Pelodiscus sinensis: one gene and its partner. The protein of the gene in region 2 purifies or fractionates together with the protein of the main gene of each other region. This does not show direct contact. Links are inferred from orthologs where the notes say so. Each region holds a gene or a part of one and is shown on either strand. Other genes may lie near its edges.

Evidence for each region.
Region 1: the proteins of JAZF1 (region 2) and NR2C2 purify together in Homo sapiens (affinity purification with mass spectrometry; 4 studies listed by BioGRID and IntAct, with this or other methods). This does not show direct contact. The link is inferred for Pelodiscus sinensis from reciprocal best matches to the Homo sapiens genes JAZF1 and NR2C2.

The regions. Positions count from the first base shown.
Region 1 is NC_134721.1:20,680,891-20,697,138, forward strand, and holds the start of NR2C2 (nuclear receptor subfamily 2 group C member 2), read right to left. Parts: upstream 7,187-16,248; 5' UTR 6,936-7,186; intron 1-6,935. UniProt on the Homo sapiens protein: Orphan nuclear receptor that can act as a repressor or activator of transcription.
Region 2 is NC_134712.1:195,788,672-195,805,121, reverse strand, and holds the start of JAZF1 (juxtaposed with another zinc finger protein 1), read right to left. Parts: upstream 6,301-16,450; 5' UTR 6,155-6,300; coding exon 6,040-6,154; intron 1-6,039. UniProt on the Homo sapiens protein: Acts as a transcriptional corepressor of orphan nuclear receptor NR2C2. Inhibits expression of the gluconeogenesis enzyme PCK2 through inhibition of NR2C2 activity.

The DNA of each region.
Region 1 (16,248 bases), on a different chromosome or scaffold from region 2:
TGAAGCAGCTGCCGGAGCACTTCCGGGTTGCAGTTGGTGCCGGACCATCAGGTGTACCGGACCACTGGATGCCGGACCACCGGAGTTTTACTGTATATATGGTCATGCCAATTCTCTTTCAGAATATGATCTGAGGAAGTGGGTCTGGCCCACGAAAGCTCATCACCTATTAAACCATTGTGTTAGTCTTTGAAGTGCTACATAGTTTTTCTTTTTGTTTTAGCAATATCAGACTAACACAGCTACCTCTCTACTACTATTTAACAAATTGGAGGAATTGGAAATGGATATTTAAGGAAGGAGAGATATGTTCCAGTTTTCCAGTAATATTTATACTATGTTTTTACAGACAATTATTATGTACCTTAGTCAAGCATAAAATTGACTACTAGTAATAAAAGTCCCTGGCAGAACATGACAACTAAGAATGTGAAAATAAACATTTCTGATTTTTCATCTTCAGTCATATTGGAGAAGGTCATGACCTTAATTTTAGTGGACTCTTCCTGGTTATTAAAGCAATTCAATTCCTCAAACTAGATGCCAGACACTATGTGGAACAGTGGTGACAAGTCAATTACTATCCCAACAGAAGATAACACCTTTTTGTAACTGCATATCCATATTTACAGTATGAATTATAAATTTTTTTGCATCAGTTTATTATAGTATTATGAGTTTGAATCGTAAGTAATGTGATGAATTATATTCCAGTGTAGCTAGCTAATATGTCAGTGTGACAGACTGCTGGCTAAGCCAGAGCTCTGCTACCGTAGCCTGACTAAGGGAAAACAGCTGAGTAAGCCCAGGCCTGCAGGGCTATCAGAAGCAGCTGTGGGCCTCACAGAAGGAGAGCTATATAAGGCGGAGGAAGCAAGCCACAGGGGGAAGAAGGAGTGGCATAGTTTGTGCCCAGGTAGAGAGATGAGCTGGCTAACTTCTAGTACCTAGAAGGGAGTGGGAAGTTACAATAAAAGGCATGGGTGACTGCACCAGATGGCTTGTTGACTGATTTGTGGACTAGCCGATGGACCAGACCCAGGTGCCTGAGTGGGGACTCTGCCACATGTGGTACCAGGAGTGGGGTGCAGCACCAGCGAATGTGGTTGGTGGCCCAGAAATGGAGGAGACCTTGCAATGGCTGGTCAAGTAGCAAGAGAAAGTGCAGCAGGCCCTGCAAAGTTTTCAGCAGTCCCACCAGGCAGAGAGACATGCTTTGCTAACCTGGCAGGCAGAGCAGCAGCAAGCCTGCAGGAATTTATAAAAGAGCAGAGCAAAGTGCAGCAGCAGCAACTCCTGAAAAACTGGCGAGTCCTGGGGAAGAGGATGGTACCCGGCCGCCAGGCCTGGGACTCTAAAATGGAGCCAGCAGATGACCTGGATTCATTTTTGAGGACATTTGGGTGGGCAGCCATGGATGCTAGATAGGATGGCCTACCTGGGCCCTGCATCTGGCTCCCTACCTGGCAGGAGAGGCTCAAGCGGCCTATGTGGCCTTGGAGGATGACCAAGCCCATAGTTATGAGGCAGTAAGAGCAGCCCTTTTGGACCAGGTGGGTCTGTCCACAGAAAAGTACCAGCAGAAGAAATTTGTCAGCTTGATGGACCGCAGATGTGAGGCCCAAAAGCTACTAGACTGGGCAACCCGTTGGCTGAGGCCAGAGGCACAGATGGTGCAAGAAATACTGGACTCGCTCATTCTCGAGCAGTTGCCTCAAGCCCCTCGGGAGAGTGTCTGTGTGGGTTAGGTGCCACCAGCCTGACACACTTAATGCAGCGGTTAGGTTGGTGGAGAAGTATGTAGAGGCAAAGGTTCCCCGGAGAGAAGGCCAACCCTCTAGGGACAAGGAATCAGGGAGAAAGCCAGAGGAGCCCCTTTCTGAGAGGTCCAGAGAGGAGGGAGTCACCTCGAGGAGCAACTGTGGGGGCTGGCACTATGACCAGCTGGCAATGTGGGATGCCAGGGCATAGAAAGCAGGACTGCCTGGACCGTATGGATTGTGGACATGTGGGGTTCTGCAGGGTGATTCAGATCAGAGGACCTGACAGGAGGCAGTGTCTGCCCACTGTCCAGATCCGGGTGAGGAGAAAGGCCCAGCGAGGGCTAATGGACTGCATCGGCCCACTCGCTCACACTGGATTCTCCCTGGAGTAAAGGTGGCACTAGAATGTGTCCATGGGGACAAGAGGTCCTGCCCAGGTGCCACTGGAACTGAGAGGCCGTTCCGGTGGAAGTGGGTGAGGGTAATGGACCAGTTACCGTATCCAATGGTGGTAGGTCAGGACTGGGACCAATCTGCCACAGAGAGCAAGAGGGGAGCCTCAAGGAAGGTCAAGAATTCCCCCAAGGGAGACAGAGGCATAGCCATTGGTGCTACAGGTGTGAGGAACTAGGTCACGTAGTTGGGTGGTATCCCAGTCCGGTAGGGACAGAAAGGTGGGAAGCAAGTCTGGTGGTAATGGGTAGCCCTTCTCCCTCTCAGGGAGATGAGGCACAAGTGGATTGCTGCCCAGAGCTGTCCCCAGAAGTAGAGACATCAATCCTGGTGGGGGAAGATAGTGCAGCACAAAGAGGAGACCAACCCTGATCTCCCCCTCCTCGCCCCTCCCCCCCCCCCCCCCAGTGCAGGTTAGAGCTGTATTGGAGGAAAGGCCACAACAAGGCTGCGGGTGGTGTGAACACCTGTGGGCAATGCCTGAAAAATTCGGGCCTGGCCCTTTCCACTGTGACTTTCATGGGGAGGGAATAAAAGAGCCCCCTGGAAAAGCTCCAAGGGAGGGTTTGTACACATGTGGGGATTTGCCCAGAAGGGAGACCCCCCCCTTAGTAAGGGCCAGAATGGCCCAGGGAGGGTGGAACCCCAGGGCAAGGAACAACTCCCCAAGGGAAAAAAAGGGGAAAAGCCAGCCCCAGGGGCAGAGTGTGTTAAGGAGAGGCAGGCCCAAACCTGACACTTCATAAGTGGGGAGGAGTGTGACAGACTGCTGGCGAAGCCAGAGCTCTGCCAGGGTAGCCTGGCTAAGGGGAAACAGCTGAGCAAGCCCAGACCTTCAGGGCTATCAGAAGCAGCTGTGGGCCTCACAGAAGGAAGGCTATATAAGGCAGAGGGAGGGCCGGAGGAAGAAAGGGGGGAAGGAGCCAGGGTGTGGCTCAGCATGCTCTCAGTTAGAGAGAGGAGCTGTCTAGACTGTAAACTTTGTACATAGCCGGTGGTGGGAACTTACAATAAAAGGGACGGGTGACTGCACCAGAAGGCTTGTCGACTGATTTGTGGACCAGCCGGTGTACCAGACCAAGGGGCCTGATCAGGGACTCTACCACAGTCAGCCATACAATATTATGCTGTAAATAGATTGTGGGATGGATTTAAATTTTCTGATGAAAAGAGAAACTCCTTAAATATACCAAACTATAACTGGTTATTTTAATGTTGTATTTACTGTGTATGCAAAAGTGAATGTGTTGATAGCATGAGGGCTTTGGGACCTGCTGATACAGGTTGGATATCCGTGGTCTGGCATGATTGGGACCAGTCAACAAAATCTGCTGGTCCAGGGGAGGGGTTCCCTTCCCCAAGCCAGCTGGCCCTCTGACTCTGTCCTCCAACCCCCACACATTATGGCTGCCAATCCCAGCCCCAGACTGCCTTTGGTGGCCAGGACTCTCTGGCTCTGGCCCATGCTGCTGCATGCAGCCACGTTTCCCCAGCCCCGCACTGCCATGGGTGGCTGGACTTCTCTGGCCCCTAGTTCTGCAATTTCCCAGCTCCACCCTGATGCGTGCTGCTGGGATTCTCTGGTTCCTGGCCAAGCACTGCCCCCGGCTACTGGCCCTCCTGCCTTTAGGCTCTCTGGTTCAGGAGCATCCGAGGTCTTGTCGGACCATGGATGTTGCTGGATCAGAGAGTACCAGTTGTCAGAGGTTGCAACCTGCACTATGAAATAGATGACAGTTGTTTGCAACAGTTGCAGTAGGGATGTTAAATTTAGATTAATCAACTAATCAGAGTTGGAATTTCCATCGATTAGTCGATAAGGGCACTTCTGCTTTGAAATGTAGCAAGAGTCTGCCAGGTTGTTGCTACATTTCAAAGGCGGAAGTGCCACACGACTGAAACACTGTATACAACCTGGTGCCAACAGGAGACTTAGGGTCCCCCACTGGCCCCAGGTTCCATGCCATGCTTCCACTTTGCAATGTACAAGTGCCCTGGTGGAGACTCCTGTACATTTCAAAGGCCAAATGCTTCCACTACACCCCTGCCTCCTCCCACAGAGCTTTTAAACTGGCTCCCCCAGCACCCCGTTTTCTTCTCCCTTCCTTGCTGCTTCTTTCTGATAGAGGCAGCAAGGGGTTGGGGAAAGAGACTAGCCAACTAGTTGATTAGCTGCTAACAGCCCTAAGTTACAGCTGAATATTGTGAAGCAGTAAGCTCAAAGAACAAATCTGTTTCAGCACCATTTTGTGTAAACACTGTTCAAGCCTGGTGAGCATGGTCTATCAATGGTTAGCTGAAACAGCTGACTAAAGTTTGCCCTTTCCAACACATTTCAAATGAAGCCATGGCCTCATTAAAGTCTATGGAAGCTTTCCACTGACTTCAATGGCACCATGATTTCATAGTTCATCTTCAAATTCAGAATGTAAAAATGTCTGGCCCAGCATCATTCTGCCACTCCCCACATGCACTGGCTCCTGTCTGCTGCTGCTTCCCTCCCTGCGCTGCTACCTCTGTATCAGAGGAAGGGGGCTTCATATAACCATTAAGATTAATCGATGAACCCAGACTCATTGGTTCATGTAAATGGGTACACAAAAAGGAGGGCATGAACTCTTTGGGAGATCAAATAAGCCATCAAGACAGATTCAGACCCAGAGAGACTGGGTGATTTTTTTTTTTTTTTTTGAGGGGAGAAGACTGACATGTCAGTTATTCTGATATAACACTGTTGCATAGGCATAGCCTTCAAGTCCTGGGCTTCACAACATCCTCAGGCAAGGAGGATTTCTTTAGCTCAGGAATAATAAATATCATATTTTGTTTAGTTTAGTTCTGTAACAAAAATGAAAGATGGTTTGAATACCAGACAAGGTCTCGTGGGCTTGGTTTTGTTTCAAGGGATGCAATTTCCCTCCTCCTCTCTTCTCTCCCGTTGTTTTTTTAACCATATAGTGGAGATTCTGGTGCTGCTGTATTTAATAAAAATTATATCTGCTAAATAAAACAAGTAATCAGGAACTGTATACACTGAATAAAAGGTCACTTATTTTCTATCTACACCTTCTTCCTTTTATCTTCCCAGTCTACAGTTGTGACACCCTTCATTGTGACAGATCCCACCTTGCTTTGCAAAATACTTCTATACAACACTGTAACACCCTCTCCACAGAACTGAAAGAAACAGCCAATTTATTACACAGCAAAGAACATAGGTTGGCCAAGGCACTGGTGTAAAATTTGTTCTACCAAAAAGGCAACAAAATCATTACTCTGAGAAGAAAGCAATCACAAGCTCTGAGGTGAAATACTCTTCATTTATTGCACTGGGGCGAAGTGAAGCTGTGTCATTTCGGGAAGGTACAACCAAGTCCAGCAATGCTGGGATCTGAGCCTATAGGTCCCAAGGAATCAAACACACTATCAAAGTTCTTCTCAGTTAGGGGAAACCCGATTACAGCGTGTCCGGGAATACTACAGGAGTCAGGTAAACTGACTACTTGGCGCAGGAAGGAAATAAAAATCCTATGGCCAGGTTGCAGTGCAGGACCCAGGGAAAGGACAATTAGCGAGGGAAAGGCCAACGCTGTAAACCCAGGCTAACATCTCAACGCCAGGCTCGGCAGGAGCGGTCCGTGGATAACAACCCCGCATCCCAGAAGCACTTCAGCCAACTGCGCCTCAGGATCCAAGTGTTGAGCCAGCCCCACATGCTGCCTGGCTCCTAGGAGCCCAGGAGACCCAGCTCGCAGCAAGCGCCATAGACCTCCTCCCGCACTGATGACCGCAGCTCCAGCGCCGCCGGTCACTACACTCTGTGCCCCGAGACCAATGGGCGCCGCGCTCCCAGCCCTTCCCACGCCCCCTGGCGTGAGAGCCGCACAGAGCAATTTTTCTCTGAACCCAACAGGAAACCCCGCCCCCTGATCTAACCAATCGGCACAAGTTAAGGCGAAAAGGCCCGCCCCCAAGGAGCGGATTGGTTAACGGGTATGCCCGTTAGGCCGCTTAGCCCGCCTCCCGTCTAAGAAGAAAAACACTCGAGGGACACCGCGGAAAAACACAAGATGGCGGTGCTGGCTGACAGCCAAGTCCCAGGCGGAGCCGACGCCATTAGACCCCCCCCTTTCCCTCCGGTGTGAGCTCTGTCGAGTTCCGAAGGGCCCGGCCCTGCCATGGGGGAGCGGCCGGTAAGATGGCGGCGGTCCCGGCCCCGTATGCAAAGTACCCACCGCCCCCTCCCCTCCGCCCTCCCGGTGGCAAAGGTAAAAGGGTCGGGTTCAAGCCGCCGCCTCCGCCCGCTCAGACTCCATCTTCCCTGTGTGTGGCCAGGGTTCCTCCGCGCCGTGGCCAGACCCCTTCTCCCGCAGCCCGCCCGGAAAGCACGCTGCTCGCCCGCATGCCGGACCGACTCGGAACCTAGGCGGGCCGGACCCCGCCAAGCGGCTCCGAAGCGGACTCGGACTCGATCGGCCCAGCTATTCCCAGAGACCCTTTCCCGAAGCGGCCTGCGAGCCCAGCCAGGCCTAGGCACGGTCGGCGCTCAACTACCACGGGCCCCCGGAGGCCGAACAAGGGGCCCGCAGGGCTGGACTCTGGCCGTTTAAACCGGGCGTTCTCTTTTCCCTTGGAGCGGCTTGGCCCGACTCCATTCCCGCCGCCCGGCCCGTTACGATCAGCCAGCGCGGGGTATTTTTATTTAGTAAAAACATTTACCTCAGACTTTGGCGCCAAATGTGCCCCGACGGTGACCCGGGTCCGACCGGGCCTGTTGGGCAGCGGTGCCAGGCGACGGCCCGGAGAGGGCGGGGGGAGGGGTGCTCGGGTTAGTATTATTTGTTATGGGGGGGGGGGGTTGTTTTGGTTTTGCGCCGTGCCCCTGTGAAAGGTCAGAGTTCGTGACCCCGCCTGCCGCTGCTGCCGCCTGGGAGCGTTTCCCCGCTTCCTCTTCCCAGCCCCACGCCGGCCACGGCCCCCTCCTCCATCCTCGCGGGGCGGGGCCGGGGGACGGCAGCGGCGGGGAGGGGCTACCTGAGTGCCTGGATGGAACGCTCACACACCAGCGTTCCAGCCGGCCCCGGGGGCAGGAACGGCGCTTTCCCGCCACCGTCCCTTACCTTCGCCCCCGGCATTGCTGGGACGATGCTGTGCTGCTGGAGCTCAGACTGGAAAACTGTGCGGCCTCCTTTTGTCTCTTAGTGAGGGGAGAGTGAGCAGACGCGTTTATTCCCCTCCCCCGAAGTTATTGTGGTAGGGAGAGGTCACAGAAGATAGCTTAGACATGGAGATTACTCTCCTCCAAACCTTATTACTTTACTGTGAGGAGAAACCCTTTATCCCAGTCAAGTTCTGTGGTCAGTCATTGTTTTCCTCCTGACCCGTGAGGCTTGTGTATAATCTTCTACTTTGAGGTAATTGCCTTTTAATTTAAGGTCGGTTATGTGTAAAGTCTGTGTGGATGCTCCTCAAAGCTTTACCCTGTGGCTTATACACAGGAATTAGAGGTGTGACTGCAGCATGGGTAGATGTACTCAAAATAACTTGAGTCTAGGGCAGGGGTGGGCAATAAAAAGGCAGAGGACCTCCAGGGTTAGTCCCTGCTGGGCTGCTGCTATAGTTACTGCACCTCTAGGTATTGGTGATTGCAGCTCTCATTGGCCACAAATCACCATTCCCAGCCAATGTGAGTGCCAGGAACTAACCCCATCAGTCTGGATCTAGCCTGTGGTCCGGTATTTGCCCACCACTGGTCTAGGGCAGTATACTAGGTATTTATGTCAGTATAACTTTGCTGCCCAGGAGTATGAAAAATCCACACTCCTGAGTGACACAGTTAAACTGACCTAACCCACAGAGCAATATTCCCACTAATCTTTTTAATTGGTGTGTGGATTTTTTTCCATCCATGTGCGGAATAACTTTTATATGCAAAGTATGTGCACATGTACACCATTGGAAACCTAAAGCTTAGTTGTGGGTGCACTGCTAATCACCTAGCTCGCATGTGAATTTCTCCTGAGGGGCAGCATAAGCACATAGCGAAATACTGCCCAGAGTAGACCACACTAAGTGGAAGGGAAAATTATTCCGTAAACCTAGCTTCTATCTCTGGGATAAATGGGTTATGTATGCTAACAGGAGAACTCCTCCCTTCTATGAAGGTAGTGTCTTCACTGACGCATTGTAGTATTTTTGCATAGACCAGCCTTAACAGCAGTATCACTTACAGTGAAACTGCAGCAGCACAAACTTCAGTGCAGACCGTATAAACCTGAAAGGAATGCTTGGTTCTGGTTAGTAAGATAGGTAGCCTGCACTGCAATTTGTGCTGTCATGGCTTCACTGCTGTTGGTACTCCTGCTTGCAACATTAAAACTAGCTGACATACATCTAAATGAGCATGAGTTAACTGTAGACATACTCCCATGATGTGTTTTCATCAGTAAAAATGTGCCATTACAATGAGATATTTATATTGGGAAATTATTTTTTTTACTAGTGAAAACAGTTGAAGGAGGTGCCCTGTGCTTTTAATCAGCATAGAGTTTGCTTATGAAACCTTCAAAGGCTATGTCTTGACAGCCAAAAAGGAGATTTTATAGTGAGTTCTCTTTTAAAATCCTAGTAGAGATAAGGCACAGGTAGTTTTTCTCTTCAGTGAAGAGGCCAATACTTGTAGAATCATGCGTCTCAGGCTAGACTCCTGGATTAATAGTTCACTCTTCTTCTGTTCACCAAGATTTTGGATGTCATAGCAGAAAGACATCTTGTGTATAGTAATGAATAAACATAAAGTAAAATCTTCAAAAAATAGCCAGTGTGTATTTAATTTATTTTTATAATAACTGGTGTGGAGAAGAATTATTTTTTTAAAGTGAACTTTTAAAATATGATTTATAGTTAACTACAAATCTAGAAGCTTACCTTTTAACATGTAAATATTCTATGTGAAGCTTAAAATCATTAGGACCTGGAGAAGATATTTAAGTATTTTTGTAAAAGGTATTTCAGATAAAATCAGATAATAGAACTAGACTTAAGAGTAGAATATTAGTACTTAGTAAAACAAATATAGTGACTATTGTGGTTCTGCTTGTGCAAGTATGTATTGGTTGCTGTTTCTCCATTTAAATATCAGTCTTTCAAAAAATTTGGCCTTGGTTATGGAGAGAGGTATTTGTGAACTTTACAAGGGAGGCCTAGTTTGGAAAAGCCCTACCATTTCATAAATGTCATTTGATACAACTGGCATGTGGTTAGAAAGTGTTTTACCATTTCTGAAATGTACATTTATCACAATATTCAAGTGCTTCTCAAGTAAACTAAATTTGTCTGGAGGTTCTCTAGTGGACTCTTAGACTTCTTACATCACTATTTATACAAGTATCTGCTTCAAAATGGGTTGTCATTTTTTGGGGTGGAGAATAAGGGATGTGAATGGTTAATGGGTTAGGCTTACTGGTTCCGGTTAACTGATGGAGGCTGGAGCAGCTCTCTGCCCATCACAGGTTGGGGGCTGTTTCAGCCTCTCAGAGCCCACTATGGGAAAAGAGCACTTCAGCTGGCTGGAGAAGCCCCTATCTGCAGCAGTCCATCCTGGGTGCACCACAGGAGTGACTAAAGTGAGAGTTTTGCTCCAGTAAAAGCTATAGTTATGAGTCTGAGGTACATGTCTTTGCTGCACTGTTCAGCATAAAAGAAAAAGCAAAATGCTTAAAAGTAGTCAAGAAACTACTGTTTGTACAGTACCTGTCGGGGGGAGGGGGAGCTGCTACAGCCCAGTTGGGCTGGCATGCCCCCCCCATCTTTAATTACATTTAACTGGTTAACCAGTTTACTAGGGATGTAAAATCCCATTTAAGAGGGTTTAATGAGGAGAGAGGGATTTTTGTTTTTTTGTGAAGTTTTAGTTATGATGGAAAAGCTTTAATAAAGGCCTGTCACATGAACAAATTATACAGGTTTAAATAAATTGGCTTTGAAACTGATTAAGTTAAACTGGTGCAATCCCTGTATTGATACTCTTAGTTTGGTTCTAAGAGTATTTTATCCATTTAACTCAAGTTGATTTATTTTATTGTACTCTATGGCTGATCACTTGTCTCATTATTTCCTTGCTACTTGCCCTTTCGGTCTGTCTGTCTATCATCAATATGTTATCTCTTGGCTTATCCTTACATTGGTGCAAGAATGGTGTCTTTTTTTTTCTTTTCCAGTTTGTGCATATGATCAATAGCTATGGGTCCTGAGAAATAATAATAGTGTGCTGTTTTACTATATTGTCAGCCTCTTGGCTTTGTAGTTAGGAAGTTTGCCTCTCTCGAACACAGATACCAAATTTAAATCTGCAAGATTCTTGTTTCTTGAATACTTTTAAACATTTCTGCCTGTTTTATGCTTAACAGTCACCAAAGGCATGTACTTCAGGCTCATAACTGTGGCTTTTACTTGAGTAAAACTCACTGAAGTCTCTGGGAAGTACAATAGGCAGCCTTTACTCAAAAGATTATATCTTAAAGCCCACACACGGACATGCCTTGTTGGTTTTCACATAAACAGTGGCAAATTGAAATGTTGAGCTAACCTTTTTATTAGCAAAAATGCATTCTTTGATCTTGGTGATATAATTTTTGGAGCAATATTGGGTGAGATTTCTAATATTCTGGTATTGAATTAACAACCAGCTGGGGGTCTGATTACAGTTTTGAAGATGCTACATTGTGCTATGTAGCTTTTTTTTTCTTCCTGGGAGCAGGTCTATAACCCCCCCCCTCCAATAATATTTACTGTTAAAAAAATTATTCACTGTTGCATTCTTACTTAAATAGCTTAAGTGTGTGAAAGTCTTGGTTAATAAGCTCCTAAACCATAAGTAAGGGATATATGTTATGGGGGGGGCACTCCTTTTTTTTTTTTATTTAGAAACTAGCATATTTACCCGATGTTGCCTGGGGTTTTATGGAGAGGCTCAGGGTAGGGAGCTGGAAATGTGGTGGGAGCAGGAGTCAGGGTTGGGGGATGAGGAGGGGTTCTGGACAGGGGACTGTGTGGGAGGAGAGAATGTGGGGAGGGCAAAGGCTCCCTTCTCCCTCCCCTCTCCCCCCCCCCCCCAAAAAAAAAAATCGTACCAGGGCTTCTTGCTTCTCTGGCTCCTCCTGTCAGGGAGTGAGAGTAAAGTGCACAGCTAGCCTACCCCTGTCCTCCACAGCCAGAGTGAGGGAGGCAGCAAGCTATGCACTTTCCCCTTGCTCCCTGATGAATGGGAACAGCCAGTACTGTGCTTCATATGAATCCGGGTAAGAGGGTTTCAGTCCTTTCTACCCTCCCTAAAGGGCGCTAGGATGTGGAGAGGCTTTGGGCGGGGCATTTTTGGATGGGAAGGAGTGTCCTGGCCAGCCCTTCACTTGTCTGGTAATTGTCTCTTTTCTGTATGGTTTTATGAGAAGCAATCCCATTCCAGGCACAACCAAACCCTTAGGCTGCTTTGAGTTATGGTAACAGGAAGCTGTATACCAAATTTGGTCCTAGCTTTTACCATCTAGGAGTTCTCCAAGAAACAAACCCACACACACACACACTCAAATATATATTAGATTGGTAAAATCAACATTTATTAAGCAAATTTTCGTGTCTCCTCAGGCTTCATATGAAAAAATTCTGTTCAATTAAAAAAAAATGCTTAATGTATAAGAATAGTATTCTTTGATAATGCCAGTAATACTTGAAAGGAAGAAGTAGAATCTTGCTAATTCATACTAAGGAGTGGGAGATGCTTTACTAAATAGTGTACATGAAAAAGGAGATTTTAAAAGATTATGGAAACTATATTAAATCTTCCATAATATGAGAACAGGTGTCACTCAGCTAAATTTAATTGTTGCATCAGTATAGAAATCTTACCCCACTATGGTCCTGAATAGGTAAGATCATTATGGGCTCTAGAACTGGATGATGCACTAAATGTTGTGACAGTATTGCAGGATCTCTTTTCTAGATTATTGTATCCCTTTCAGGAGTCTGATTTGTCTTGTGTACCCCCAAGTTTCATCTCACTTAAACTACCTGCTTAGAAAATTTACCAAATTATAAATGTCTCAGTGCACTGTTAACAAAAAATTGCTTACTTTCTCATTCTTAGCATATAATATGAAACAACTGGAATATTATAGGACTATAATAGAGTTTAAAGAGAAGCTAGATAATTTCATGGAGGTTAGGTCCATAAAAGGCTATTAGCCAGGGGATAAAATGGTGTCATTGGCCTCTGTTTGTCAGAGGCAGGAGACAAATCACTTGATCATTGTCTTCGGTCAACCCTCTCTGGGGCACCTGGTGCTGGCCGCTGTCGGCAGACAGGATACTGGGCTAGAAGGACCTTTGGTCTGACCCAGTTCGGCTGTTCTTATGTTATGTTATGTATTAATATTGTGCTACTTTTTCCAGTGTATAGTATTTAGAGCAGTACAGGCAGTCCCCGGGTTACGTACAAGATAGGGACTGTAGGTTTGTTCTTAAGTTGAATTTGTATGTAAGTCGGAACTGGTACATATTGTAGGGGAAACTCTAGCCAAACATTTCTCCAGAGCTCAGTTTTATTCTCCCACACCTCACTTCCCTCAGTCCTTTATTCTCAAGCTAAGGTGTCTGCTGAGAAAAGCCGCTCCGCGTCTCTCTGGTCTGCTGGGGGGAAGCAGCTAGTGCGGGGTTGCCTCACCCCGTTTGTAAGTAGGGATCCGATGTAAGTTGGATCCATGTAACCCGGGGACTGCCTGTATAAGCAAATCTTTGTATGGAATTTTAGTTTGTACAGACTCAGTGCTTTTTTATGTAGCCTCTTGTAAAACTAAGCAAATATCTAGATGAGTTGATGCAGAAGACTTCGGCATGCCCCAGAGTTACACATACCTCTTTATGTATTTATACAGAACATTTTTGTATGTCAGTACAGGGGTTCCCTATGCACTTGTGGCTGAGTGTACTAAGAGGGTACTTGTGTTGACAAGGGTCACATAGTTACATAGTGCAGATATTTTTTTAAAAGTTAAATATTTTTATGATCAATAGTAAGTAAAATAATTGTATTTGGTTGGAAAATGTTTAATCAATTCTTATGCTTTAGGGTATGAACTAATATGGGGACCAGAAAGGTCTGTCCTCATTGTACAGTTGAATACACAGGCATTTCATTTATTTATTTATTTATTATTTAACTTTAAATCCTAGGGTCAGGGTGACTATCGAAAGAAGGATATTGAATTTGGACTCCTGGGCTATGTGGTAAAATACATTATTTCATAGATTTGAGTTCTGTAAATAGATTACTAATATTGCTTGAGAGCACAGCAGACCAAAAGGTATCTTTTAAACCATTTCTGCATATCAGACAAACTAGGGGGCTGTACCCCCTCCTTGCTACGCTCGCCCCTTCCCCCCTCCCGTGGGGTAGGCAACCCCTGGCGCTCTGCCTGGCCACTGGGGAGGGCTGGGCTGCGGCCACGCCAGCCTTTGCCCTTTCTCTTCACCCCCCCCTGAGCTGCGCCACCCCAGGCCCTTTTTCCTCTCTCCTCCCCCACCTCCTCCTCCCAAGCCGCACTAGCCCGGGCCCTTTTTCTCTTCCTCATGCCCTCAGCAGTGCCAGCCCAGGCCCTTTTTCCACTCCCTCTCTCCTGAGGCACACCAGCCTGGGCCCTTTCTGCACTCCCCCTGCACTGCTCCAGGGTGCCCCAACCCAAGTCCTTTTTTCTCTCTTCCCCGCCCCGGCCTTGCCATCCGGGGTCCATTCTCTCCCTCTGCCACTCCCCCTCGTCTGCGGCCTAACTGCCCCCGTCCAAGGCTGTGCCAGGCTCTGCGCTGCCCCCAGTATCCTGCTGGGGCTCTTCTGCATTTCAAAGCTGGCATCTGCATGCAGCCTGGAGTCAGCAGGACTTCCTGCTGGACTGGGGCTGCATGTGGAGTTCTGCATTCCTCCTTTGAAATATACAAGTGCCTTCTGACTAGTCGAGTAGTTGATGGAAATTCCATCGACTACTCGACTCGTCAATTAACCACTAGTTAACATCCTTAGAACGCATACAGCTAGAGATTGTTTAATGAAAAATCCCTTCAGAATTTATGAATAGGAAAGATTAATTAAATGACACTTATACAGCTACAGCATGTGTCCTCAGAACATGCTTTCTGCCAAATGTTCTATGCCAGGGGTTCTCAAACTTTGTGATACTGCGACCCCCCCCCTCTAAATTGCTTGTGACCTCCTTTTAAGTTGCTCCCGACCCCCCACGGGGGAGGGAGGGTGTCTGGACCCACAGTTTGAGAAACGCGGTTCTATGCAATACTTAGTTTTATATTTTATAGAATCTCATTGGTAGTATTGCTTATTGTTTTTTCTTACTCCAGCTGTACTGCTGCAATAACATCTTAAGTAAAAAGTAAATTAAGAGCCATCATTCTTTCCAGGCTATTAGTCAACGACAAGTAACAACTTTTAGCCAAAATTTGTTACTTGTGATGCAATAGTATATTACAGATATTATTCAGTGAACTGAAACTAGCCATACTCCTTAATATATGCCATACCCCCTATTATATGGCTTCAATGATTGTAAGAAGCATTCTAGAGGAGTTTTTAGTGTAAAATTCAAATGACCAGTTAGTATTTTGATTATACAACAGTATTTGTCACAGAGTTTGAGATACACTGTAAACATAATTTGGCCCCTTTGTGTATATATTATTGATAGTCTTTTTTGCGTTGTTCTGTTTTTCTTTCATAAGACCCTTGGCTCATTCAGTGTATAGGATATATTCAGCTAATTTAGTGTTTTCAAAGTGTTTATATTTTGTGGACCCCAAACATTTTGACTGGAGGTATGGGCCCCTTTGGAAATCTTAGACATGGGGAAGTCTGCAGTAGTTAAAACTGCTGTGTTAATTGAATGAGTAGCTTGAATGAGTGAAGTAAAGGGTTCTGTGGAAAAAGTAGTGTGTGATCATCTAATGAAAGTTACCAGTTAACCGTGGCCCCAGTTGGTCTGAAGCAGCCACCCTTCAGCCCAGCTGGACCTGCTGCACCATGGCCAGGGGGAGGCGGCACTTCAGACTGGCCCGATTTAAGCTGTTAACCCATTACACATAACATTTAACTGGTTAACTGATTAAATAAGATTTTACATCCCCAATCAAAATGCATTTTCATAGGCTGAATTATGGCTTTACAGTCAACTTTAATACAGGGAGTGCTTGACTTTGCAGCCATTACATTCTTTTATTGTAGTTTTTAATGTAACTTTGTGAAAAAATATGATAGAATTGATTTTTGTTTAATTATATGAAACCATATTGGTGATGTTAAATTTAAATTAACTAATCAAATAGTCGATGGGATTTCCATTGACTGTTTGATTAGTCAATAAGGGTACCTCTGCCAGGCTCCTCCTGAAGTTCAAAAGTGGAAGCCTCACATGGAACGCAGGGCCAGCAGGGGACTGGTCCTGCACTCCCTGTTGCTCCCCAGCGGGCCTCTTGTACATTTCAAAAGAAGCCACACAGGAAGCGTGGGACCGCTTCCTGTCATACCTCAGCCTTTGAAATGCACAAGACCCCCACCAGGGCTCTTGTATGCTTCAAAAGCAGAATCACAGCAGAATCAGCGTGAGCGGAGATTGCTTCAGTCCCCTCTTGTGGTGTTTCCCATTGTGCTTCTACCTCCCCTGCTTTCCACAGAGATGGTGCTAGGGGGAACCGGCTTTTAAGCGGGCTCCCCCCAGCACTAGCTGCTGCCCTCCCCCCTCGCTGTGTGTCTCTGATAGAGGCAGCAAGAGGGGAGAAGTGACTATTTGCTTATACACATTTGGAACCTTCAAAATTACAGCACTCACCTCTACCAGTTGGAACAGAGTACAGGCAGTCCCCGGGTTACGTACAAGATAGGGACTGTAGGTTTGTTCTTAAGTTGCATCTGTATGTAAGTCGGAACTGGCATCCAGATTCAGACACTGCTGAAACTGACCGCCAGTTCTGACTTACATAC
Region 2 (16,450 bases):
GGCAAGCTCTCTCAAAATAATTATCATAGAAAAGAATCTGATGAATTTTACATCATCTCTATCTAGGAACTGTAGGCAGAAAATGGAGGCAGAAAATGGGAATGAGGGTTATCTGTTATGGCAACAGAATAAGTTAATGCTGTGCAATGGAGGGGTTGTTCCCACAGAATTTGGTTCCTTTACAACAAGGAGTGCATGGGGTCCCTTTGGTAGGCCTGAGAACTATTTTTGACAAAGCCTAACCAAGCCAGAAGGTTCCACCATAGATTCTTAAATATTAGATTGCAGATTTGGTATATATTGGGATGAGTCTGTGGCACCAAATGTGAGTTTAATTATTCTTCACCTGCCAACCACATAAAGAGATGGCAATGCTTGGTATAGGTTGTATCTAATACATAAAGTGAACATTAAGGCTCTACAGAAGTCCATTGATAGATATCAAGTTTGTCACATTTGTCACATGGAGGAATTTTGTATTTCTAAGTAAAACAACTACAGAATCTCTCAAAAACGTCATCCACTGACACTTGAAGGTAAAAAAATGTTACTGGGGAATTTTGGTGCCAAAACATACAGGCCAGTTTATACAGGCAGTCCCCGAGTTACGTGGATCCGACTTATGTCGGATCCGCAGTTACGAACGGGGATTTTCTTGCCCCGGAGGACTGGAGCGGCGGGACACCTGGTCCCGCCGCCCGCCTCCTCCGGGGCGAGAAAAGCTGCTCCCCGTCTCCCTGGTCTGCTAGGGAAGCCAGCAGACCAGGGAGACGGGGAGCAAAGCAGCGGAGGACCCGGGCCGGACCCACGGCGCTGATCTGGAAGGGTCGCGAGTCCGGCCCCGGGTCCTCCGCCGCTTTGCTCAGCATCTCCCTGGTCTGCAGACCAGGGAGACGTTGAGCAAAGCGGCGGAGGACCCAGGGCCGGACCCACGGCGCTTCCAGATCAGCTAGTGCCCCCCCCAGCAGACCAGGGAGTCGTGGAGCAAAGCCCAGGGCCTGTGGTAGAGCAGGTGGGGCGCTGCCGGTTGGTCCCGCAGCACCGCTCCTTGGCGCTACTGGACCAACCCGGCAGCACCCCAGCTGCTCTGCCCCAGGCGTCCCCAAGTCAGCCGCTGCTGAAACTGACCAGCGGCTGACAACAGGAAGCCCGAGGCAGAGTTGCTCTGCCCCGGGCTTCCTGGAATCAGCTGCTGATCAGTTTCAGCAGCAGCTGACTTGGGGACGCCTGGGGTTCTTAAGTTGAATCTGTATGTAAGTCGGAACTGGTGTCCAGATTCAGCCGCTGTTGAAACTGATCAGTTTCAGCAGCGGCTGAATCTGGATGCCAGTTCCGACTTACATACAGATTCAACTTAAGAACAAACCTACAGTCCCTATCTTGTACGTAACCCAGGGACTGCCTGTATATAAAAGCTGTTCTTAATCACAGTATATTGCACCTTACTCTATGAATATTGGTGGGAAAAACTGACCCTTAAGTAGCATTGAAGAATTAAAATACTTATTTTGTCCTTTTCCCTCTTTTACATACAGTGCAAATTAATAAATTCAAATCAATCATATTTTGTTAATAGTCAAGATTCATTCTAACTCTGAAAACAGAAACTGTCAGAATCACGTGTTATGTTTAAAGACCCCAATGTTGCAATCTGATTCATTTGGGCAAAGCAATGGGATTCCATGTTGTAAGGATCCGTCCACACAAAGCAGATTGCAGGACCAACTGTAAACTAACAATAAACCTTAACTGTTTGCATAACTATTGTCCAAGACAGTTTTTTTAAACTAACACCACAATCAAATCTATTTCTATTGTTTTTATTTTTACAGAAAAGTACAAAGAAGTCTTCAAAATCATCATTTAGTCTTAAAAAAAATATTACCATGTTCTCTATATGTCCAAAATGAATCCCTTCCTGGTTTTATATCAACATGACAAAAATCACTCAGAGAATATTACAGTATTGTGCTCACAGCACACAATGTGAACACAGTTTTCATAGGCTCCCCATTTTCACCTTTCAAAAATTTCCCTTTCAGCTGAACTTTCTCATGATAAAATGGAAAAGTTTTAGGAAGTTCTGAAAGTTTTGTTAGGATTTTTCCCAAGCAGCTCCATGAATGTAATGGGGTCTTGCTCATGTGGAAGAGCTTATAAAGTCTTAGTGTGATAGAAGAATTGTGACTCAGTTTAACAGTTGTAACTCTCAATGACTTTACTATGCATTGCATCTATATACACTTGAGGGAATAACAAAATCAAACTAAGCCCTGACTTCAATGAAGTTGCAGAATCTTACACTGAGCTTGAATTTAGCTCAGAATTCTTCACCAAGTTAAAATGTTTCCAGTTGATTTTACTGGCTCACCTCTGATAGGATGTATTTTTAAAATATAAAACTAGAAATCCACTTAAGATCCAATTCCACACCAAACTCAGCATGGACAGACTTCTGAGCCCATGCAGTGATTCGCTGGCTTACATACAGGAAAAAAAAATGCGCACATTTGTAGAAAACCATTAAAGATGTTTGAAAATCACAAGCACTATATGCCATTTTCCACAAACTTGCGTACTGTTATTTGCTTGTGTAATCCCATACAGAAGAACCTTCAAATAAATGTAGTCAAAGCAGTGTCATATCACATGCTCATATTAATGTATAAATGGATATCTAATATGTGATCCACTGCAATTTTCTTTTAGAAAATAAAAGCATTACATATAAATATATATCAAAGTAACATTAATTTTAAGTGTACAAATATTAACAAATTAAATATATAGATTCCTAATGTAACTCAGCCGTTCCCTTCATGCATATGAAATAATTCTGTACACTTGTACATCAGTGGTTCTCTTATTGTGGTCTGCAGGCCCAAAAATGATGTGTGGCTTGGATTATAGCAGGGGAGGGCAATAATTTTTTACTCCAAGATTTTGGAAAGTGATCAAGGGCTGTACTCATCCATGATGTTAATGGAGGAAGTGCAGGGTCTGGGATGGAAGTTGGGTGCAGAAGGGAGCTTGGGGTAAGGGATTTGGCTGCAGGGAGTAAGTGGGGTCTGGGAGGGAGTTTGGGTGAAGGAGACAGTTCTGACCTGGGGCATTGGACTGGGGTGCAAGAGTTTGGGTTGTGACCTGGAGCAGGGAACTGGGGTACAGGAGGGGGTGCAGGGGTTTGGGTCGTGACCTAGGGCAGGGGCATGGGTACAGGGTCTGAGTGGGATATGGGTTCAGGAGCAAGACAGAGGATTTGGTTTATGTAGGGTAGAGAGGAAGGAGTGGGAAGGGAGAGGGTTGGAGAAAGGGAGGGACTAGAGCGCCAGAGGCAGGCTCTGGCAGGGAGACTTACATGGGTGAATCCCAGCCAGCAGTCCAGGACATTTCTCAGGCAGGTTCCCTGCCTGCCCTGCCCCCGCACAGGCTGCAGGGGCCACATGAGTTGGTCAATATGAGCCTGAGGGGAGGGGGTGGAAAGTGGTGCTTTGGGCTGCCTGTTCTTCAAAAAGGCAGCTCCCATTGGCCAGAAATTGGCCAATGGGATTATGCTAGATGTGCATGCAGCATGTTAAGGACTGCTCCTGCCTCCACTGGGCTCACAGATGAAGCAGCTACTTTTCTCAGCTGTTTTGGGGGCAGGGCAAAAAGGGAGTCTGCCTAAGGCTCCCTGCTGCATCCACAGGCTGGATCCGGTGGTTTTGCAGGCTGGATCCATCCCACAGAAGGTATTTTGCCCAGGCCTGGTTTATAGCATGGCTTCCCAATCTGGGAGGATGCAAACAAATTCAAATGGGTTAGGGCAATCATGACAATCTTCGCTTTACCTATGTCTTATTGTGATGACCCAAAACTTTTTCCTCGTGTAACATGGCTTACACACTATAGACAAAGATTAAAATTACTGCATTATAGTATAGTTCCAAAATGAGAATCCATTATAACAACATAGATTGAGATTATAATAAGAGTACACTAGGTATTTTTTTAGTTTGAGATGTGGTATGCTAAACCTAAAAGAGAATTGCTGTTTGTACATTATTTTATCACATATGCAAAAATGTATGGTTATGGGAACCATACTTTGGAATTTCCTGTTCTGTGATTTAAATTGCATTTAACACTTTCTTAATGCAGTTTAATCTAATTTTTAAAAGTTTATTACTTCATAACAATTTCAATTATTTGTTCAAATGTTTGGCCTGCCTATTAAAGAAGTCATAAAATGGAACAGCATGTATGTTTCATCACTGTATAATGGCATAAGGCTCATTTATATATTTACTGAATGATAGCAAATGTAGTTATTTACACCTTCTTTATAATATAGTACTCTTATCACATCAAAATGAATCACTAGTCACTAATCTGTCAAATTTCTACTTTGAAGAAAATTATATTTGACAGCTTAATTTATATTCTGTTAATAAAATTCAACAAAGCAGTTACACAGAAGGGTAGCCTAAAAGTCACTATAACATGTAGCTGTGTCAGTTTCAACATACTAGCAAATACGGTGGGTGAGGTAAAATCTTTTGACCAACTGCTATTGGTGACAAAGAAACTTTCAAACTCTGAATAAGCGTGAAAGCTGGTGTCTCTCACCACTTACCCACTTTTTCCCCCTATTCAAGTATTAACTCTTACATTCCACACAGGGAATGTAAGATCTGAGGAAGTGGGTCTGGCCCACGAAAGCTCATCATCTAATAAACCATCTTGTTAGTCTTTAAAGTGCTACATTGTCCTGCATTTTGATTCCACACAGGGATTCTCAAAAAAAACCCACAGCCGACTTGCTGGATTTTTCTTACGCTTTTTTCAAAAACAGAGTTTAGCATCTATAGAATGTAGGCCTCATATTTTCTCATCTGCTCACGTGTTAACAGGAAGAATTTTTTTTTTAAAAAAAACTTTTTATTCATGTTAACTTTTGGCTTTGCATAGCATGTCGATTCCCGGGGCAGCCCTCACCCATTCATACCTGCCCATTACTGCAAACTTGCTGCGTGGAGATGCAAAGCCAGGGGCAGCCTCCCGAAGGCAACAGAGTGACGAGTCATCACCCCACCCCCTGCTGCATAATGCACTGGGCATAATCCCTGCCCCCACTCCCCTCGGAGCGAGCGCAGGGCGGATCTTCACGGCGAATTCGGGAGCGTGGCATCCAGGGCAGGGGACTTGTTGAAAGCGCTTGTCTGAGCAACACGGTGCACGGAGGGGGGGGGGAGGGGAGCGAGCGAGCGACCCCACAGGTGATGACCAGACAGGCGCAGCGCCAGCCCCAGAACCCCGGCGGGAGCCGCTCCGAGGCCTGGCCTCGGCTCAGCAGCAAATGGCAGCAGCAGAATCCCCGCCCGCGCTGCACCGGGGGGTGCCTTCTCCCCCGGCTGCCGGAGTCGCACGGCGTCTGCCGACCCCGGGCACGGCACCAGGCGCACGCAGACCTCGCCCCTGCAGCCGCCGCCGTCGCTTAGCCTCCACCCCCGCCGGCGGCGGGGTCCTCCACGCCCACCCGGCCGCCGGCCTCCCCGCCACCCTTCCTCCCTGGAGAGGCGCCTTCAGGGCAGCGAGGCTGCCGCGGGCGGGCAGCGCCCCATCCTCCCCACCACACCTAGCAACAGCGCTGACAGGACGCAGCAGCGGCGAGGAGGAGGAAGCGGAATGGCTGCCGCCGCGGCTCCCTCCCCGGAGCCCTGACAGCCAGAGCCGGGGCGGAAGCAGCAGGCGGCGTGCCGTGCCCGTCCTCCTCCCCCTCCCCGCGCCGCCTCCGGCTCCCGCACTGCCTCCTGCCAAGGCAAACTCACTCCCCGCTGCAGCGCCGCCCCCGTCCGCAGCCCCTCGTGCCCCCCCTGCCTCCCCACGCCGGGCCATGCCGCCTCCCGCGCCCCCGAACACGCCCATGCCCAGTATGCAGCCGCCCCGGCACCTTCTCCTCCGCCCTGCCCGTGCACGGCATGCACCCCCCCACACACGCCCCCTGCACATGCAGCCCGCCCCAGCGCTGCGGCGGGGGTCCCGCTGCCGGCCACTCACCGATGTGGTTGTCCTCAATGTGCTCGATGAGCTCAGCCAGGCTTGGGAAGTGGAGCCCGCAGCCCCCGAACCTGCAGGTATTGGAGAAGAAGGAGGCGGCGGCGATGCCTGTCATGGTGTTACATTGAGATCCCCCTGCGGTGCCTGCGCTGCCAGGGCCGCCGGCGGCAGGGCGGAGAGAGGCGGGGGAAGCGGGGAACGGGACAGAGAGAGATGGGGAGCGAGAGAGAGGGTGGGGGTGGGGAGGAGGAGGTGGCAGCGGCCGCGGCGGCAGCAGCAGCGTCGGGAGCGGCGGAGGGGAGGGACGGGCTGGGTGGGGGGAGATGAGGCAGCCGCAGCTGGGAGGAGGGACCAGTGCTGCACTGTAACAGCTGTGCTACCCCAGCAGCCACCGCCTCCTCCAGCAGCAGCAGGATCAAGGGCCCCAGGCCACACTCATCACCTCCTCAGGGGGAGATTTAGCAACAGTTCACATACATATATGTTTCAGTGCTCAAAGACTGTGTTAGGCTACATGTCTTCAAGTGTAAAGTTTTTTTGGGGGGGGGGGAATGTTACATTTATGTGTAACTTTATTTAACTTTTTTCAGTAGCATGGCAAGTGGGGAATTAAACAAGGGCTCATTTTTGTTTACCCCACACACATTTGTGATACTCTTAACTGATTCTGAACAGTATCTTACATCATAATTAGCACCTCTTAAGTCAGTAGGACTACTTGTGAAATAAGATATTGCACCTTATTGTGAGTAACCTTATTTGCTGGTGCACAGAGGGGACCCATTGTTCAGGAGTCCACCAAGCAAGCTGAATAGTGTGTTCACCTAAATCTCACACAATCCCCACTGTACTGTCAGCACCAAAAAGATGCGGAGCACTCCCAATTTAGGGATGTAAGCAAGTAGTCCAGTATTGCACTACCCTATAAGGTTAAGTTTATCAGGTAATAGAGAACTCAACTATTTGCTCCCCCCCACACACTTGCTGCCTCTGTATGAGAGGCGGGGCGGGGCTGACTTAAAAGCTACTTGCCCACAGCATTGTCTTCCTGGTGCTGCCTCCACCCCACCGCCACTGCCTCTATCAGAGGCAGCTTCTGCCCATGGCAGGTTGATGGGTTGCCATGGGCAGAGCCTGCTCCAGCAGCAGCCCCATCTGTGGGGGTCTCAGCAGGTAGCTGCCCCGCCAGGGAGAGGGGCTGCTGCCACAAAGCAGCTCCTATCTGCAGTGGCCCAGGTTGGCTGCAGGCAGACATTTTTCTGTTTACCGCACCCAGGGCCAGCCTCAGACAGGGGCTACTGCCGGAGCAGCCCCTGAGCATGTGGGCCAAAAGGCACTTACTATGTTTAAAATGCAGAGCTGCAGCAGTCCAGAGCTGGTGCAAGCCAGGACTGCTAAGTCCTGACTTGCATCAGCTTCAGAAGCTATCCCCACTGTGGCTTTGCAGAGCAGCTCCCCTTATTGACTAATCGTGTAGTCAATACAAATTGTATCTACTACACAATTAGCAAAATAACCACTCTAACATCTTTACTCCCTACCAGTGTTTCCTGTAAGCTGTGTGCTTGGGCGGCTACCCCGGAGAGATTCAAATGCTACCCAGTTGATTGGCAGAGTGCCCATAACTGGCAGTCTGTGTTTCTATTGGTGGTGCACAACTGTACGTGCCTTGGTGCACATAACAAAATATATTCCGTACACAGGAAAAATTTAGAGTGACCATTGACCTCAACCCATCTAATTGAAGTTGAGGTTATTCAGCTACTTGCAGAATCCTGATTCTGCAGACATACAGGTGCTTGAACTGTAAGTAATCTGTTGAAATCATATGGGCTAGCCTAATTAATAATATTAGGCATATGCATAACTGTTTAGAGGATTGAGGGATGAAAGTAGCAGAAGGTCTAATTGACATATAATTTCCCTTTATATATTTCTTTCCAGGATAGATCTTTGTAATATAAGGGCCTCATTCTGCTAGTCTTTGCACCTTGAACTCTTAAATTGGCTAGGAGAACAAGAAACCAGGATTGCACTGTGATGTAAGACAGCTAGAACTGAAGAAAGAAATTAACATAAAAATGCAAAACTCACTCTCAAATCCTATTTTGACTTTTGTCTCCAGAAAGCTAGTCACTGGAGAGGCTGACTGATTAATTGATTTGAATGAAGCTCTCCCGAGGCTGAAGTTCATAGACAGCTTTATTTAAAATTAAAATAAAAAAAAAAGAGCAAGAGCTTGCCTGTCAGGTGGGTTTTTCAAAAAAAATTAATCATCCCATCTTTGCTATATTGCATATTATGCTAAAATAATAGTAATAATTCTAGCAGAACCAGTTCTGCAAAAAATGAAGATACTGGCTTAAGACCCTCACTATGCAGATACTTCTACATGTGTTTAACTTTAGGCATAAATGTAAACATGCATAAGGGTCTGCAGAATCAGATTTAACAACTGTATTGCCCTCACAGCTGCTCCCATCATTGATGAAGAGGTGATTGCCTAAAAGTAGCAAAGCTTTCAAGGCAGCTAAATGGGTAGAGACTGCAGGCTTAGAGGGGATGCCAATTTGCTTAGAGCATCAGAAATCCTGGAGCCAAATCTGACTGCTTATAATACACTTGAGAACCTAAAACCTCATGGTGACAAAATAGCCTGCATCTTAGTTCACAGATCAGTTTCCTAATTTTCATATAAATTAGCACTGATTGTCCCTATGTTGCATAACTTCCAATCAAAAAATTGTGTTTATATATAATTTACTCGTACATTAAAAAAATCATGCACAAAATTTATTTTCCAAAAAATATAGATTCTAGGAACATCTGCCTTCACTTCCACACTCTAAGGCATTCCATATAAAAGTTAAAATTCTCTTGAGTAATACACAGGTTCATTATATCTAACACCTGTCATCTATTTGTTTATATCAAGCATATTCATTTCACAGGCCACTTCTCTTTTCCTTTAAATCTGTCCTCAAGGCACACTTCTTCCATGTGCCTTACAAGAAATTAGTGAACTAGTCATTGACTAAAGTGAAAGGGCAGTTTGGGAGACAGCTGATCCTAATTAAGACCTCAGTCCTGCAACCATTGGTGCAGATGCTTAATTTTGCTACTAAATTTTATAGGGTTACTCAGGGAAATTTTTTTGTAGGTTTAGGATTTAAAACAACAGACCTTAAGCATTTTTCTTAGTCATAGGTATCTGATCTATAGAGGAGTGATAGAAATGTAGCCATGTTAGTCTGGTGTAGCTGAAACAAAATACAGGACTATGTAGCACTTTAAAGACTAACAAGATGGTTTATTAGATGATGAGCTTTCGTGGGCCAGACCCACTTCCTCAGATCAAATAGTGGAAGATCTATAGAGGTAGATCCTAGTCCTATGCAGAGCTCTATTAAAATCAGTAGAGCTCTGTATAGATGCAGTGATCTGCAGCTCAATTTGGACTCTTACAGCCTTAAATGTTAACCTTCGTAGGTTGGAGCCTAGATCTTTCTTTGAGATAGTGTCTAGCACATTGTGAGCTTTACAATTATATAAATAATAAAATTTTACAGAGAGGCAGGACACCAATACTCAGCAGAACGAGTACTGTGCACATTAATTACATAAGAGGCTGATCCTGCATCATTACAGTCAATGGGAGTTGTCTCATTGTTATCCGCACAAATTTCTCTATCCCTTCCACACTGTAGGGACACACACCTTTACCTAGTTTTAGGGATCAAGATGCAATCCTGTTAATTTACACACTCACCCTTACCCAATTCCTAGGGCTCAGGGTGGAATTTCCTGCAGGTTTCCAGGACCTTTAGCCACTAAAAGATCCTAACACAGTAATATTCTTATTCCGTTTACTATTTCCAAACAAGCAGAATACACATGCTAAGCACACAGCGTCATGGTCACCAATCCTGATATAGGTAGGCAGACTTCCTCTGTTGGCCAGGCAAGATCAGTCTCTCTGGATCTTAGTTGCTGCACATCACTGTCATGCAGGAGAATCCTGGCAGCTTTGGTCTTAGGCTACGTCTTGGAGGTGAGTAGTTTTTCCAGGTCTTCTTCCCCTTCTTCTTGGTGTTCCCTCCTGTTCTTGTTTCCCTGTTGTTGTTCTTGCCTTCTGCTCCTATTACTTTTTGGACCCCAGTTTATATAAATGAAACCTGAGTCCTGCTTAACTATACCTTAACCAATTATTTTAGTATAATTTTACTAACCAATCATAACAGAATTTCCCAACCAATCATACCCCACCACCTTAATTGATTTACACCTAGCAAAACTGATTATACCACAGACAGAAACAGTTACAAACCAGACAGAGATTGCATAGACAAACAAAAGGAAAGCGATGACAATAATCATAGAGTGCGGATTCCACAACCTCAACTATTGATAAGTAGTTTCTTGCCAGACAGAATGGTGTTAACTTAAGTTTTCTTTACCCATCTTGAAATCTGTTTCTTTATCTGGTAACAGTGGGGGGGCTATTAGGACAAAATCCCCTTCTCACAGCCTGGTGTGACACTATTTTAATTCAATTTAGTGGAATAGTGATAGAAATGTAGCTGTGTTAGTTGGTCTAGCTGAAACAAAAACAGGACTATGTAGCACTTTAAAGACTAACAAGATGGCTTATTAGGTGATGAGCTTTCATGGGCCAGATCATGCAAATTTTCTTCCACTATTTGATCTGAGGAAGTGGGTCTGGCCCACGAAAGCTCATCTTGTTAGTCTTTAAAGTGCTACATAGTCCTGTTTGTTTCATTTAGTGGAATGTGAGTGTGTGACTCTAGGCCTTACAGCTAATTGCTACTGCTCTCCACTCTAGCTGCAGAAGAAGGCTTTGGTTCAGGCTTACCAATATGGTTACAGGCCTTCCAACATGGTGACAGAAAAACCATATTGTTACAACATATGTTCAGGATCAAGCCCAGAGTGAACAAAACTGTAAATACCACTGCTTTGTCAACACTTTCCTACAAATGGTCTGAAAGAAACATTTAAGTGCTTACTAAATTCTGTGCATTTCTGGGACTTCATGACCTGATGAAAACACAATTCCCATTGAAGTCAGCAAAAGTTAGAAGTTCTGATTCCACTTCTCAGGAGCCACTCAATATCCCACAAATAGTGATCCATGTAATACCTTTCTAGTATTCTAGGGCCTGATTTAGCAGATATTAAGCAGCCTTAACTTCTCATTATTTCCCTGCAAGTTGAGCAGTTCATCAGGTCAGGCTCATGATTAGTAACTATTCCTATGATGTAGATCAATGGTCTCCAACCTTTTTACACCCAAGATCACTTATTAAATATCAGAACAAGCCATCCTTCCGCCCCATCCTTCCCCCAAGACTCTACCCCTTCCTTGAAGCACCACCCTCTCTGTTCTTCTCTCCAACATTTGCTATCCCTGGCCCTTATACACTCTCAGGCTATGGCTACACTGCTGCTTCCCCCCACCCCGATTCTTCTATAGGAAGAGGTTTTTCCAACATTTGGCCTGTCTAGACTGGGCCAAATGTCAGAAAAAAACCTTCTATCGGAAGCCCCCTTATTCCTCGTGGAACAGGGAATACAGGGGTTGCTGAAAGAGTGTGTTTGCTCTTCCGCTAAAAAAAAGCAGGACAAATGTGTCCCTGGATGTGGAAGAGTTTTTCCAGGATACCTCTGGAATCCCAGAAAAACTCCAGCAGCTTAGCTGTACACTCACTGGGTTGAGACAGTGTGGGGGCTCTGGGGTAGGAATAAGGGATTTGGGTGTGGGAAGGAGTGAGAGGTGCAAGATCTGGGAGGGAATTTGGATGCAGGAGGAGGTGGAGAAGGGGATGCTGGTTCAGGGAAGAGACTCCAGGCTGGATAGTGTTAGGGTCAGGTGAAGGGTTAGGGAACTGAGCAAGCCACAGGTTTGTGGATGTGAGGGTGCAGGAGTTTGGGTTGGGGGATGTGAGAGGCTCAGGGCACGGAGGTTGGGCGTATGATGGGGTCAGGACAGATCTGCAGTGTGTGGACGGTGCAGAAGTGTCGTGGCAGAAGACTGGGGATGTGGGGGTGCAGGAGTTTGGGAATATGAGAGGCTCAGGATAGAGGGTTCCAGTGTATGATAGGCTGAGATCTAGGGCCTGGGGGGGAGGGGGCAGGGCGTACAGGAGCGTTATGATGCTGTGGGAAGATGGGGGCTTAGCCCCAATTGGGGGTTTGTTGGCCTGGCTTCATTTTTAAATAAAATAGGTCAAACATAAAGGTTTCAGCATTGTCCCTATTTATGAGAAGGGGGGGGAAAACTTGTTTTGAGTTGAGGTCACTGACCCACAGAAAAGTCAGTCAGGGCCACATAAGTGAGATGCAAAAAAAAAAAACCCCTCTTCCAAATGCCCCCCGAGCCTCACTAATGTGGCCCTAACTGTGCTGGTGGGAGCAGGGGACATGGTACTGGGGAAGGGTGCTTGGGATGGGGATGGGGTGTCAGTGGGTGCTGAAGCAGGAGACAGGGTGCCATAGTAGGGCTCAGGGTGTTGGTGGGGGTAGGGGACAGGCTGGTGGGGCAGGTAGCAGGCTACCAGTGGGTGCTGCAGCAGGGGACAGGGTGTTGGTGGGGGCAGGGAACAGGGAGTCCCCAGCACTCGCCTCCTATGAGGACTCCTGCTTCCTCCCCCCTACAGGGGAAGCACATCCCACAGGGCACGCTGACTGCTCTGGGGACTCCTACCTCCCTTCCCCCCCACACACACAGGGGAAGCACGTCCCGGCATGCGCCTCCTCCGAGGACTCCTACCACCTCCTGCCCGCACAGAGGAAGGAAGTCCGCACGTGCCTCCTCCAGGGACTCCAACCTCCCTGCCGTGCAGGAAGTCCCTAACATGCCACAGACCTGGGTCTGGTACCTTGCTGGCTGTTTAGGGGAGGGGGAGCAGCCAGCGTACTTCCTGAAACCCCAGAAGTGAGGCACAGCTGCAGGACATCCATCCACCCCTCAGGAAGCTGGCGCTACCCCCCTTGTCACTGGAGGTAGGCAGTGAGGCTTCTTGGGGGTGGGGAGAAATGGGGAGCCCCCCCCAAACGCTTCACGATCGACTGGTCGGGCCCTACCAATCGACAAGTCGATTGCAATCGACGGGTTGATGTAGACACTCTAGGCTAGGTCTATGCTGCTGTTTCTTTTTTTCCTGCATAAAGCTTTGCAAAAATGCAGTCCACACCCAAATGTGGATATGCTTTCTCTGCCCACTAAAATGACACATCTCAATGATTTACATCATGTGGGTTTTATCTTAAAAAATGGGGGTGTGATTAATACTTTTGAGGAATGCTGGAGGGTCAGACGTGGTTTAAATGGCTGGTGCCTCCCCAATGGTAGACAGCTAATACATACACCTTGGGGTACTATGCAGCTGCCTCTGGATCACTTCCTACCAGTGTCTACTCTTCCCTTCACAATGTGAAGTACTCAATATAAAAATTAAAATTTCACTAGTCCCTCCTGTGAAGGCTTGGTTAGGTCAGTGTCTCCATGTCTCAGGCAGCCAGAACTCCTGGGGTATTCCTATCCAAGAGCTCAGGTCTACTTCCTTCTACTGCCTGCCTCAGAGCTGCTCTTCTTCCCTGTTTAATCTGTTTCCAGCTTTACAGGTGAGGTAGGGTGAAGCCATCTGGGTCCAGAGCTCCTTTATCTCTTCTCCAATGTGAGGTTTGTGTGCCCCATCACAATATGGGACCCAGAGTTTTGTCCTCCACTCTCTGGTCCCCCTCCTTCTTGGGGAAAAATCAGTGTTTTGGTGGGCTTTCCCAGCTCGGTGGAATACCTGAAAATGTCATGTTTGTAAGGAGAAGTATGTCTGCATAATTCTTGGGTTGGAATCTTTCATAATGTTCAGTGAGCGAAGAGTTGTGTGGTCAGTTACTAATGAGAAGTGGTTTGCCAACAAATAGCATCTTAAGACATCCACGGGCTGTTTCACAGCAAAGGCCTTTTCTACACTTATCAGGAGATCAGCCCTGCAGGGATCAACTTAGCAGGTCTAGTAAAAAACCCATCTACTCCAATACTCCACTGAAGCTAGAAGAATAAGGGGAATTGATGGGAGAGTTTCTCACATCAACACCGACTAAGGTACTTTGACTCCAGCAACGCTATTCACATGGCTGGAGTTGTGCACCTTAATTTGACATTGCCTGCTAGTGTAGCCCTGGCCTTAGAGTTTTCTGTAACTGAATAGACTTCTTCCTGGGGCAACACTTTTCTACTTATATAGGAGATTGGGTGTTCCTCTCCTTCAACTTCCTGGGAAAGACCTGTTCTGCATCAGTAGTGTGAACTTTTTGGAAAAATCTTAGTAAATTTTTACTGGCTCCTGACAGACAATCTTTTAGAAGCACAGGAGGACAAGTCTAAATGCTCACAGGCTCCAGACAAAATTTTCCTAGGACTGGCTTCCTTCACAATGCCCATGAGGGGTGCTCCATGGCAAAGTCTGGTACAAAATGCCTATAATAGCCTGCTAGGCCAAAAAAAGTGTCAGATCTGTTTTTTGTTGTCGAGATGGTCCAAATTGCTATGGCCTATAGCTTGCAAATTAATGGTCATAACTTGCCCCTTCCTATGATATAGCTAAAATAACTATGCCATCTTACTTGGGTTCACAGTGAATCCTGAATACCTTCCTGAATTCACAGTGAAACCTGGACCCCCCTGAGAGTCTGTAGGATGGCAATGACATGTCATATGTGATTGTTCCATTGACAGCTGTAAATCACAATGTCATCTACATATACCACAGCATAGAGTGCATCTACACAGCACCCTAAACTCAGAATAATCTTATTTCAATTGAATTTTGAAATAGTGCCAAATTTCAAAATAACATGCTGTTTCAAGCCATACCTTATTCCTCGTGCAATGAGGTTTATTGGGATGGTGAAATAACCAGCATGCTATTAAAAAAATATTTCAAAATAGTGGGCAGCTTGTGTAGACACGGGGTAGCTATTTCAGGATACCTCTGGTATCCTGAAATAGCTGTGCAGTGTAGACATACCCATATTGACCATGTAGTTACAGCACTTCATCTATGTCTCAGTGAAAATGACTGCTGCCCCATGAAGGTAAAATGGCATATTTCACAATTGGTGCAGAATGGATGGGGCAGAGAAAGTGGTCTTTTCCTAAGACTGATGTCAGTGGGGTCTGTCAGTACCGCTCATTGCGGTCTAACCTAGTCTTTCTAATAAGCATCAAACTTCAATATTGCATTTACCTTTCTAAAATAAGAAAGGCAGATCACCACATTTTGTTTTGGTACCAGCACAAAGGGACTTGACTATCATTGCAAGATTCTTCCAGTATCCTTGGTCTAACATGGCTCCTCTTAGATGGTGTCACACATCTTTCACAGGAGTGGTCATGGGTTTTCAAGAATTGATTCTTGCTGTGTAGGTAGGTAAAGATAAGCCAGATGGGACCATCTCAAAGGCTGAAACTACTCCAGGGAAGAATACAAGCTGCTACATTTGGGCTGTCTGTTCTGATTGAAGCTCTTTTCCCATGAGAATGGCTCAGGATTCTTGGGTAAACAGGTCTAAATTCTCATAGACGGTCCCTTGGTTATAGGCCTTTCTTGGTTCTGTTGGGCTTTCAATAAGTTTTCTTTTGCAAAGTCTCCTAATGGAGTACATGCTACACCATATTCATCACGTTAGGTCCTTGTTCCTCCTGTGCTTCTCAGAGGAAGCCTAAAATCCCATGAGATTTGAGCTTCTATGTGAGGAGAATCCCACAGATGCTGGAAGAATCTCTGATGATAAACAGTGGAAATGACTGGTCCCAGTGAAAAGGATCTAATGCTACAGATTTCCTGAGCATCTTTCAGTATTTGATTAAACAAGTCAATCAATCCATCAAGTAAACTGATTTACTTAGTGTCGTAAGCCTTAACAGAACACCATAGTTCTTTTATCAAACGCAACACAAAATTAGTTCCTTGATCAGTCTGGATCTCTTTCGGCATACTTGAGCTTCCTCAACTCAGCTATGATGGTTGCTGCATTTAGAGAACAGAGAAGGATGGCTTTGGGGATATTGGGTTATGTGATCTAGGACCATCAGAATATACTAGAACCCTTCCTCTGTTTTCTCCTGTGTGCTCACTAGGTCCATCCACTTCATTCAAATGGTAGCCCCACTATAAGGAACATGACCAGGGTAGCTTTCAGGGTTCTGTTAGAAAAAACCCTGCTTCCCCAGTAAAAAAGTTTGGCTAGGCCGCTCTTGCTATAGTGGGCTGCAGTACTCCTTGGGAGAAACTGGCCGCACCCTTCCTGCATACCATTACCTTTAGAAAAAGGCAAGGTGTGAAAAGGGGAAAATAGCCTCAGACTCTCCCACCCGTCACCTTGGCGT